Linked DNA regions of Rattus norvegicus. Each later gene encodes a partner of the first gene's protein in a complex. Links are inferred from orthologs where the notes say so. Each region holds a gene or a part of one and is shown in the gene's direction. Other genes may lie near its edges. The genes, in order: Taf1c, Polr2f and Tbp.

Region 1 (3,823 bases):
TACTATGACCTCAAAGCAACACTGTGTGCAGCTGGGAGCGGGGAAGCAAGAGTATGAACTAGAGGGTTATAAGCTTCAAGATTGAAGCTATGCTAAAAGAAAAGGGGGGGTGTGAAAGAGCCCGAGTAGGGACCAATCTGGAGCCAGTGGGAAAATTCCTACCACAAACCTCCAAGCACAAGGACCCCTCCCTTCCAGGAAGAAGAAAAAAGCTGGTTTAGGTCCTGGAACAGCTACAAGCCAAACCGTCACACAAAGTTACCTGACTCCCAACTGAATGGTACACAGAGTCGATCAGAAGAACGTTGTTTGGCTTCACTAAATGAGCATAGTACCCTGCCTGGTTACCATTGTCCAAATTCCGCCCCAGTTGTTTGCAAGGTATATAACTCCGTTAGAGTCTGCTCTTAGGGTTGTCTCCTCTTGAAGTGGGATGACCCTGACATGTCGGAATGATTAGACCCCTCTTGCTTTTGCGTCAGTCACCTGCCTCCGTGGGTCTCATTCAGGGGGTCCTGGAAGAGGTTCAATTCAGACCTCACAGACTACAGCACCAGACTAGAACTGCTCAGACAGACAGCCTCATGGACAGAACATTACCAAATTCTCCTTGCCTTTTCTGTCATAAGACAACTATTATTAGATTACCCCGATCACAGCCTGTAAGCCAGTCTAATAGAATCACCTCCATTCTATACTCAATCAGTTCTGTTCCTTTAGAGATCCTTTATGCATAGACTCAGGAACACAGATTCAGGTCCCCCCGAGTAACCTGCTCCACCTTGGAGACCGATTTATGAAGTCTTGATAATTACAGAACAAAGGGAAGTCATAACCCAAAGAAGCTTTCAAATACATTGGTGGGAATGTCATGTAGGTAGGTTACATTGAAGCAGATCTGTTCCTTGTCTCAAGATTCTATCTGAAGACATTCTTAGCCTCCAGGTGTGTAGAAGCGAGTGGTCAGCAGAGCCACACATCCTAAGTTTCATGTCATAGTGCCAGGGCCAAGGCAACCTACAGGCAGCGCCCAGGACTTGCTGCCTGTGAATTTGAAAAAATCCCCCAAGAGGACAACCTAATATTCATTCCCGTTCCCCGGTTTAAGCCATGCATGCACCCAGAGGCGTCTGTGAAGAGGATTCTAGAACTTGTGGGCAACAAATACAGTGAGTGGCTCATCAGTGCTGCTCAGTTGTTTGTTGAGAGGATCAATTAAACTTCCCAACACTCTTGTAAGATAGGAAGTTAATGAAGTGGAGGCAGGATCGTCCAACACCAGGACGATGGGAATTTCACAGCTCGGTTCAATTCGCCGCCTGCTCTGAAGGTGGCGCTGGAGGACATAGTGAGGTGAGCTGGGGCGGGACTTCCTGTCTCACTGGAGCATTTCCGGCCCGGCCCGGAAACTAGTTCAGTCTGGGTGGCAATGCTCCAGTAGTTGTGGGTGGCGGCGTTGAGGAGTGGCAGTCCGGCTCATTTGTGTCCCCGGGATCAGGTGAGACTGTTGCCGGGAACCGGCAGGGCCCGCGTGCGGGGATGCTGAGAGCACGTGGCAGGCCACATGGCTCTCGAGCAGGCCGATTCCAGCGCTGAGTCTTATCCTAGATGTTTGCCATGAGGGAGGGCGGTCCCGGAAAACTTGTGAGCAGATTACGGGTCTTCAGTTCCTAGACTCTTAAATTCAGAGCCATCACATCTCGTCCAGCAGCTCGGCCGGTCGGATGTAAGATTTAATTTTTACTAAAAATGAGGACTGTTTGACAGTTACCGCTTGAAGAGAGTTCCTGCTTTAACTCAGACCACGGGCATTTCGGGAGAAGCCTGTATTTGGCCGGGAAAGCCGGAATAGTACGCAGCTCTGGTACGCCCACAGAGGGGTGGAAGAAAGTCTGCCTGATTGAAGACCGCTCAGCTCTCATTAACATCCCACTTGGTCCTCTCACTCTCCCGTTCATATATTCAGCGGTTGCCTATCTCTGGCATTTTACCTGCCTCGGGACCTCTTGCGCTCACCGGTCATTCTCCCCAGCCCCTCTTCCAAGGTGTGCACAGAGCTATCTCCCTGGCTGCCCCAAGGGAGCACTCCCTTGTGATTGGGAGTGAGCAGCTCTGGCGTTAGGCTGCAGATTCTGGTCTTTACCTGCTGTCTTGTAGTGGTCTCCCCTGCGGGCACTGTGTGCTCTCTGGGAGCCCTGGGGCACTGTTGAGACTCTTAATGAAGTCCTGTGTAACGTTAGATACATTGTCTCCAGGATGGACTTCCCCAGCACCCTGCGTCCTTCGTTGTTTATGGCCGGTCCTCTTGGCATGACTGATGGCCCCGACTTGTCCTTCATGTGCAGCTGGAGAGATGCACTGACCCTGCCAGGGGCCCAGCCACAGAACTGCAGGGTGAGGATGGAAGTGGGGTCCTTTCCTTGGTCTCTTCTTCATTCACTTATCGGAGAAAGAGGTCCCAGCAGATGCTAGTGCTGTGCACCGGCCGCCCTACTATCCAGACAGAATCTCTCAATAGAGGCTGTAGCTCCTCTTTCCTTGCTCCCTCTCCCTGGGTTCAGCAAATGTTTATTAGCCAGTGTCTCTGTGTTAGGGTCCTTACAGGCCCAAGAGCCCACCATGAGGAGGTCAGGCAAACCCACCCAAGGGACTGCCAGTTATGGTGGGAGACAGTACGCCGATGGGCAGACCCTGTGTAGTGTGGCCTTGGCTCTACTAGATCATGAAATGGCAGGGGAAGGGGACAGGATTTCTGCTCTTGGGAAGGCCATCTTCAGCTGCCTTGTATTGAGTACGTAGAGGGGAGCAGGTCAAAGAGAGGGTATTGGGGGAGGGGAGTTCTTGGTCCTTGGGACAAGGGAGACTTGTTGGTACCTACTTGGAACCCATTGAATGACAGGACTCAGAGGAAGTGGCTGAGAAAATTGGAGCTCATTGCGTTCTGGGTGGGACAGTCAAGATATAGGTGCTTCCTTTGAAAGCTGCTATGAATGGAGTTTAGAATACAGGCTCTGGAGTTGGTTGCCTGGGTTCAAGTCTATGCCTGTTTTTAGTTGACTGTCACCTAGGGCAAGTGACAGCAGCCTCACCCTTCGGGTTCTACATTAGCACAGTGACTAGCTTTTTAGATTTGTCACGACGACTGAGTTGGTTAAGGGCAGGGAGCGCATACTTGCCATGTTATTGCTGCCCTGTATCCCTAGGACCAGACATCGTCCTTTGCCAAGAACCTGCTGTGGGAGCCATCGACACCAGGACCCCTGCCCCTGGTGCCTCCTGGCCCTGGTAAGAGTCTCTCTCCTTCTGGGCTCCCTCCAAGGACCTTAGCCATCGCATGGACAAGGGGATCCCAGATTGCAGATACCTCCCTATTCCCTCTCAGGTTCTTCTCTGACTTCCTTCTCCCCTTAGATCCCTGGGACCCTGGTCTGGCAGCTCAGGACTTCCTCTTCCGGGGAGGTCACTACTACCAGTACCAGTCTCGAGTTGTGCTGGATGTCACTGAGCAGGTAAACGGTCTCTGGGTGGGACTGTTTCTCACAGCCTGAGCTATGCTGACTCACACAGCCATTCCCCACAGCTCAGCCGCTTCCTGTGGGACCATGGGGATATAGCCTTTGCACCCCTGGGGAAACTCATGCTGGAGAACTTCAGATTGGAGGGGAACCGGGTAAGGAGCCACCACTGGCTGGGTGGATGGTCAGCCACCTCCCTGGGTGCAAACCTGACAGGCCTTCCCTGCAGGGCTACTCGAAAAAGGTGACCATAGTCAGCGTGAAGAGGCTGCTTCAGGACCTCGGTGGACACCAGCCCTGGGGGCAAG
Region 2 (3,696 bases), on another chromosome or scaffold:
TAAAACTAGTAAAAGATGTCAGTAAACCTACAGGGACAGGTTCAAAACTGACTCGTGTCTGATAAGCCAGTGTGGAACACTCACAGGAGTGAGGCGTCCTGACAACTCAGTCTAAGCCAACTGGATGGTCATACTCTGTGGGAGTAAGATGGATCCTGCTTAGTCCGGGCTTTAGTGTTCCTTCCCCTAGGGAGCCCATGCCCTCTGTTCAAGCACAGCCAGGCTGGATTCTGTACACTGAGGCCTGGGCTGTACCTTTGCTTAGGGGCTGAATGAAATGCCATCTTGGATAGCTTTTGGCGAGTCCAGTCTGGCCTGCGTGCGCCACCTGCTGGCTGATGTCACTCACCTCATCTTCACTGGATGATGGTGACATGTTTATTTTAGTAGCTGCAGCACAAGACAGTCACTTCAAAGCCTGCGCTTGCATGTCTGTGGGGCACTGATGAGCGATGCCCTTCAGTTACTGCTGTGATGTGAGGAGAGAGTGGACACGGCCGGTCAGGTCAATGGTTACTTATGTAAAGCACTCTGTGTATGTATGGCAAACTAAACAGGACCTTACATGTTTTACTGCTGAGCTATACGTCAAGTTTTGGGGACATTTCATTATGTCAGAAAAGACATTTGGTTTCTGCTCTTTGGAAAATTTCAGGATTTTAGGATTAGCAGAGACCAGAATATTTAGTCACAAACTAATAAATGTCAGTCTCAAGGTGGTCCCCAGAGTCACCCAGGTACCTCTGAAGGTATAATTCTCAGACCCCCTCATGAGCTGAGGGATTCTGTCTGGATCAGCAGTTAAGAGCACTTGGTGCTCTTGTATCCAGTGTCCTCCAAAGGCACTGGAAACCTCCATGTAAGCAAAACACCCATACACATAAGAAAATCATTGGTCTTTTATGGCCTGGAGAAGGCACTGGCCCTTGATTTTGGATGCTTGTTCGTAAGTCTGAATCTATTGGCGTCAGGCTGTCCAGGGTTATTAGAAGCGTCTGTCTGCAGGAGACAGGCCTGGAGTTGATGTGCCCTTGTTTGCCATTGGAAGTTTTGCTTGGACCAAGCATTAGCTGGGGCCTGGGCCCTCATAGTGGATCATGTGTGGTTCTGGGCCACCAGACAGATGTTCATAGTCTGGTGTGGACAGTAGTATGGTGGCTTTGATGCCAAGAAACGCATGTTTAACTCACCGGGGGCACAGAAGACAGATTCCCAAGGCTCAATGGTTGAGAGCACAGACTGCTCTTCCAGAGGTCCTGAGTTCAATTCCCAGCAACCACGTGGCAGCTCACAACCATCTGTAATGGGATCCGATGGGACACTCTTCTGGTGTGTCTGAAGAGAGCAACAGAGTGCTCACATAAAAAAAAAAAAAATTAAGTATATCTTTAAATAAAAAAAAGGAGACAGAGGTGGGTGAGGACAGAGAGTAGAAATGAAAGGGATCTGTGCCTGTTGTCCATGTTGTGACAGAAGTCCAGAGGACAGGCTTCTGGCTTAGTACATTTGGCTCACAGTCCTGGAGCTTAGAAGGTTCAAGAACATGGCAACTCACCTGTGGGGCCTCAAGCTGCATCGTAATATGGCAGAGTGCTGTTATTTGGTAGAACTGAGCAACCTTGCTAGCTTGGATTTCTCTTCCTTTAATAAAGCCACTTAGGCTATCATGGTGGTCACACCTTTGTGGCTTTCTTTCTTTTTTTTTTTTTTTTTAATTTTTTTTTTTTATTTATTTATTATATATAAGTACACTGTAGCTGTCTTCAGACACACCAGAATAGGGCATCGGATCTCATTATAGATGGTTGTGAACCACCATATGGTTGCTGGGATTTGAACTCAGGACCTCTGGAAGAGCAGACAGTGCTCTTAACCACTGAGCCATCTCTCCAGCCCCTTTGTGGCTTTCTAAGAGCTCCTTCTCCAATACCGTCGTCATCTTAATTTGGGGGACACTTAACCATAACCTAGGGGAGGCATGGAAGTTTGTTCTGGCTTGAATGAGGGGCCAGGCTGGAAGAGTGTCACTCTTCTGGGGGTGTTGCTATGCAGGGCCTTCTCTGATGGGGTATGACATGCAGATGACTTCAGTATGTTACCTGGGACATATCCCAGCACAGTGGTGAGGAGCAGACCTTGGCTCTGCCTCTCTGCCTACGTGACCTGGGGCAGGACACCTTTTATATTGGATAGTTTATGTATTTACATTTCAAATGTTATCCCTTCTATGAAGATGTTCCCACTCCCACCGCAACACCCTGGCATTCCTGTACACTAGAGCTTCACCTTTCTGTACCTAGTTTCCATGATAGTAAAGTGGAAGTCAAAGTAGGCCTCTCCCACTGAGGCAGAGGTCATGGCAGGTAGCTGTCAGTGTCTGGCGTGCAGAGCCTGTCTGCTATCTGGTTTTTGTCATTGTTTCCCCAGTGAGGTAGGGATCTCTTCTTCAATTTTAGAAGAGGCTGTTGGGATGTGGAGAGAAATTCGGTGACTTGTGCTTACAGGCACAGTTTAAATCCAGTCTGCCAGCCTTCCCTCTGCTCAGTGGTGGCTCCCTGAACACTGCTGCCACCAGGCCTGCCTGTCCAGGTGACCTTGCTAGATGAGGATCAGGACAGCAGATCCACCTTCTCTGAGCCTTGTCTGCTGTCTCTCCAATCTTTCTCTGTCTCTGCAGGATGTGTGCCCCAGTAATGGTGGAGCTGGAGGGGGAGACAGACCCTTTGCTCATCGCCATGAAGGAACTCAAGTAAGTCTGCCCCTCCTTCAGAGTATCTCGGGCCTCTTTAGACCTGTGGCTCATGCATGGCCAGCCCCCGGGAGCCAAGGGAGGGCATTTCTGTGACACGTGCTACTACCACCTGTTCTCTGCTGGGAGCCAGGGCACCAGCTCTCACTTCATTCGACTTCTCCCCACACAGGGCCCGGAAGATCCCCATCATCATTCGCCGTTACCTGCCAGATGGAAGCTATGAGGATTGGGGCGTGGATGAGCTCATCATCAGCGACTGAGCAGAGCTGTCAGGCTGTGCCAGGCACCATCTCTATGCCCATTTTATACATGTAAATAATAAACTTCACTCTTCACACCCCCTCTGCCCCTGTTGCCTGCATGCTGACACCTGCTGCTTTCTTGTTCCTGCCCTACTACAGGATGGGCATACATTGAGGTGACCCTGTGACTGTTAGCTCTTTCTAAAGCACCAGGGCCCCCATCCCATCCCTCCATCTCTCCCCATGCACCAGAGCAAAAGCTGCTGCAGGGAGACACCTCAGCTGCCTTCTCAGCAGACAGATGAGTCTTTGTGCCCAGGGAGCTGGTTGCCACGGAAACCCCCAATTTCCTTTCCAGTGGGGACTGGCTGCAGGGGCTTCTCCCTTCTCAGGAGTATCACAGAGCAGGTTTCATCAAGCCAGCCATTGTTCCTAGGGACCTGCCTTGAGCTCTTATCGAGGACTCAGATCCCCTTTCAGGAGCGGTGCTTTAGCAGGAAGCGTGGGGGTGCAGTGATCCCCCACTGTCCCCAGGCAGAGCCCTGTTGGGCAAGGCAGCAACTGCAGCCCTATCACCACTCTGTCCCAGGCCAGTGCCACTCAGTGCCCCCATGGCCTACCTTTCTGATCTACTACCTTGTGCCCTCTGCTCCTCAGACCTGAGTTTGAGTCCCTCTCCTGCCTCAGTGGGCCCTCTTGTGC
Region 3 (3,600 bases), on another chromosome or scaffold:
GGACTAAATAAAGAAGCGAACTAATATTTATCTAATTTATGCTTCCGATTTGTGGATGCAGTCCAGGTGTCATGCTCTCCCCTGGATTGTAGCCCCTCAAGCACTAAGCCAAAATAAATCTGCTTCCCATAAATTGTCTCTTGTCAGGCCTTTGTTAAGTTTTCTTAATTCCCCAGTCTTCTGTGGTTTCCTGTACTTCCAAGAGAAAATGTTTCCTTTAGGAGAAAATAGATACACAATACTATTGTACTTATTAGAGTCTATGCATATGGCAACCTATTCAACAGCTATACACAACACACAGATTCTCTTCTCTCTCTCTCTCTCTCTCTCTCTCTCTCTCTCTCTCTCTCTCTTTCTCTTTCTCTCTATCACACACACACACACACACACACACACACACACACACCGGGGGGGGGGGGAGTAAGCACAACAACACATGTATATGCCTAGGTGAACCATGGAAGGAAAAAATTAAGGTATGTTGGAATCAAATCAAGCATTAAGAACCAGTCTAAGAAACAGCTGACGTTTTCTTGTGACAGCAAGGACGAGAGCTGGTAGTAGCAGAGTTAAAATAGAAATGAGTCTGTGACTACAAAGCCGCTTGTTTTGCTGTTCCTCTTTGGACGCAAGTTGACATTTACTGAGAACATAATAAGAAGCGTCTGCTTGCCATTCACGTTATCCATCTCACAAATCTCTAAGAGGCAACTACTACTATCATTCAACTCTACAGAGCAAAGTGGAGGACCCAGTGAGCTTGCCAAGCGATCTCTTGAGTTCAAGACCAGCCTGTTCTACAAGAGTGAGTCCCAAGACAGCCAGAGCGACAAGGAGAAACTCTCAAAAAAACAAAAACAACACGTGGAAGATCGAGGATGTATACAGTTCAGTGGTAGAACGCTTGCTTGAGCCTGATCCCCATAGCCACATCCCCAATACTGTTCCCGCTACACACTCTACATCTCTCTTTGACAGCTAGAAAGGGCGGTCAGAGGCCTGGTCCCGAAAATGCTGGGACACCAACCCAACCCCTTTCTTTCACGAGTGTCTCACAGTTTAAGCACAACAAGCCGGGCTCCAGTCGAGAGCGCAACTGGCGGAAGTGACGGCATCAGATGTGCGTCAGGCGTTCGGTGGGGTCGAGTCCGGTAGCGGTGGCGGGTATCTGCTGGCGGTTTGGCTAGGTTTCTGCGGTCGCGTCATTTTCTCCGCAGTGCCCAGGTAACGGTTCTTTCATCCTTTTCTCTGCTTGGAGGCCTTAACAAAAGCGACTTCTGCAGCGGGTCCCTGGAGTTTGCCGGAGGAGACGCGGAATGGGCGCGCGGCCGGGCGGGGAACGGTCCTCCGCGCGGGCTGCGGCGGCTCCGGGAGTACCAGTCTCTGGACCACCGCCTCGGCGGGGTCATGAAATCCAGTGCCAAGTGTGAGCCTCTCCAAGGGGCTGGCACCGGACAGCTCGGCGCACCGTACATCTCAGCTGCTTCCCCCGGTGGAAGACAGTTTTACCCAGGCCTGCGGCTGCTCGTTTTGTCCCCAGTAAGAATAATTCTATTAGGAAGCGGTTCTTGAGACGGAGCATCTCGTCAGAAGCTCGAGATTCAAGCTCAGTCGAGCTTAACATAAAAACGCACGCTTCTTTATTTACACGCTGTCAGTCTTTAGGTTCGAGTTAACGTGGTTTTCCAAAACTCCGGGTAGGCTTTTCTGGGAAAAGATGCCGGACTGGGTGAAGCAGACGCTTGAAGACTGCAGAATTGGTTTCCCAAATATTCAGTTTGATGGCTCAGTTTCCAAAAGTTGAAAACAACCTAAAAATAAGTTTGTGCAGCGATTATTGCGGTTTTAAGATGCAGATGAGAAAAGGTAGTTTAATATCGTCTGCAGGTGTGAGATGACCTCAGCGAAGGATACTACACATTCCCCAGTCTTATATAAGCGAGCGTTCAGTAAACTTTGTTTGCAGAAAGTGATCTGGATAAATCTCTGGTTATACTTTGGACATTAAATCCAGCCTTTTTTTTTTTCCCCAACCAAAACAGTGATCTCTGAAATTGAATTTTCAGTCTTCAGTTTTCTCAGATTTATCCGCTCTTGGACCAAGAAGATATTCAAACTGCACCTTAACATCCTTTAACTGTTCCCATTGTCTGTGTAGTGACATCTTATACCCTGAATTATGCAACCCTATCTACAGCTAGCTGCTTTGTCATCTTTTGTAGTGACTTTACATTCTAAGCCTGTCACATACTACATGCAAGGCTTTGTCCCCCTTTCATGTCTGTGACTTGTACTGCGATAGTGCTGATTTGTGTGGTTTTGTTCCTCTTGCTAGACCTGTGTTAGATTGTCCCTGCTTTGTGAGAGCTCAGACCTCTGGAAAGGGTACTTCAATTCCGTCTTAACTTTTAAAAGATTTACATATATGACTGTTTTGCTTATATGTCTTTATGTGTATCACGTGCATGCCCGGGCCCATAGAAGACAAAAGAGAGCTTTGGATTCCCTGGGACTGGATTTATAGCTAGTTGTAAGTAGCTATGTGGGTACTAGGAATCAAAACTAGTCCTTCTGAAGAGCAGCAGTGCTCTTGACTGCAGAACATTCTGCCACCTCTTGACTCTAATCTGTACTCTTCCATAACATTCATTCACGGTCACAAATGCCGAGACCAGTCATAGGTAGGTGCAGGTGTCTTGAAGACACTAATGTTGGTTTCAGCTTTCCAATAGCTTGCCTTACTTCGTAAACGCCTGCAGTTTTAGTGTTTGCTAAGTATTTATAGTTGTCTCCGTATTGTTTTATACCGAACTGTTTGATAAGGACCGTATCCTCTTTATCTTTGTATCTGGAATGTTGATTCGTTCACTTCTTATGGCATCTCTGAGCAAGCCATTGGTCTATATGAACTGAGCTGATTTTTAAAAATAAAGTATCTTTAAGGAATTGAGGATGGGCGTTTGCCTGCCATTTAGGAGGCTCTGGATTCTATCACTACTGCCTTTACAAAGGAAAAGAGAGCACATTTCATAGTCTCCTAATCCATATTCATATTTCACATCCATGACCACTAAAGAGCTGATGATTTAAGAAACTCAGTTCCAGGCGTGGTTTGAATTAATGTGATCTAATGAGCTAATGTTTCATCTGTTGTTTAGTCTGCCTTTAATTAAAATTAGAACACACAAAAAATGATTACCTAAAGCATATTGTGTCCAGTTCAATATGATACTTTAAGCTTGAGGTATTGGGAATGGTATAAAACCAGAATTGACTTAATAGAGCTGTACAAACAGTGCCTAGTAAGTGTTCTTTTCTTACAGTACAGTTTGCTTACGAATTAGTTTTCCCTCGGCCTTTAGTTTGCCGAGGCCTTTGCTGGGGGTGGGGCATGAGGGTGAAGGTGGTACAAAGGGCTGGTCCCTGATGCTGGTTCTTAAAAGAGATGGCTCAGAGGTTACAAGCACTGCCTACTCCTCCAGAGAACCAGGTTGGAGCCATCTCTCACACCCTACAATTTGATCTTAATCTAAACATTTATTGTCTAAGTTCACAAAGAACACACAGGTTTCAAAGTTACAAATTGTATATCCAAAG

What was found.
Region 2: Taf1c (region 1) and Polr2f share a complex: the UniProt entries of both Homo sapiens proteins name them as parts of the pol I pre-initiation complex. The link is inferred for Rattus norvegicus from reciprocal best matches to the Homo sapiens genes TAF1C and POLR2F.
Region 3: Taf1c (region 1) and Tbp share a complex: the UniProt entries of both Homo sapiens proteins name them as parts of the transcription factor SL1/TIF-IB complex. The link is inferred for Rattus norvegicus from reciprocal best matches to the Homo sapiens genes TAF1C and TBP.

Annotation. Positions count from the first base shown.
Region 1 is NC_086037.1:64,565,212-64,569,034, reverse strand, and holds the start of Taf1c (TATA box-binding protein-associated factor, RNA polymerase I, subunit C), read left to right. Parts: upstream 1-1,435; 5' UTR 1,436-1,498; intron 1,499-2,255; 5' UTR 2,256-2,256; coding exon 2,257-2,394; exon of another isoform or gene 2,395-3,203; coding exon 3,204-3,285; intron 3,286-3,411; coding exon 3,412-3,509; exon of another isoform or gene 3,510-3,580; coding exon 3,581-3,670; intron 3,671-3,676; exon of another isoform or gene 3,677-3,744; coding exon 3,745-3,818; exon of another isoform or gene 3,819-3,823. UniProt on the Homo sapiens protein: Component of the transcription factor SL1/TIF-IB complex, which is involved in the assembly of the PIC (pre-initiation complex) during RNA polymerase I-dependent transcription.
Region 2 is NC_086025.1:112,599,457-112,603,152, forward strand, and holds the end of Polr2f (DNA-directed RNA polymerases I, II, and III subunit RPABC2), read left to right. Parts: intron 1-2,677; coding exon 2,678-2,749; intron 2,750-2,921; coding exon 2,922-3,012; 3' UTR 3,013-3,053; downstream 3,054-3,696. UniProt on the Homo sapiens protein: DNA-dependent RNA polymerase catalyzes the transcription of DNA into RNA using the four ribonucleoside triphosphates as substrates.
Region 3 is NC_086019.1:65,135,324-65,138,923, forward strand, and holds the start of Tbp (TATA-box-binding protein), read left to right. Parts: upstream 1-1,384; 5' UTR 1,385-1,542; intron 1,543-3,600. UniProt on the Homo sapiens protein: The TFIID basal transcription factor complex plays a major role in the initiation of RNA polymerase II (Pol II)-dependent transcription.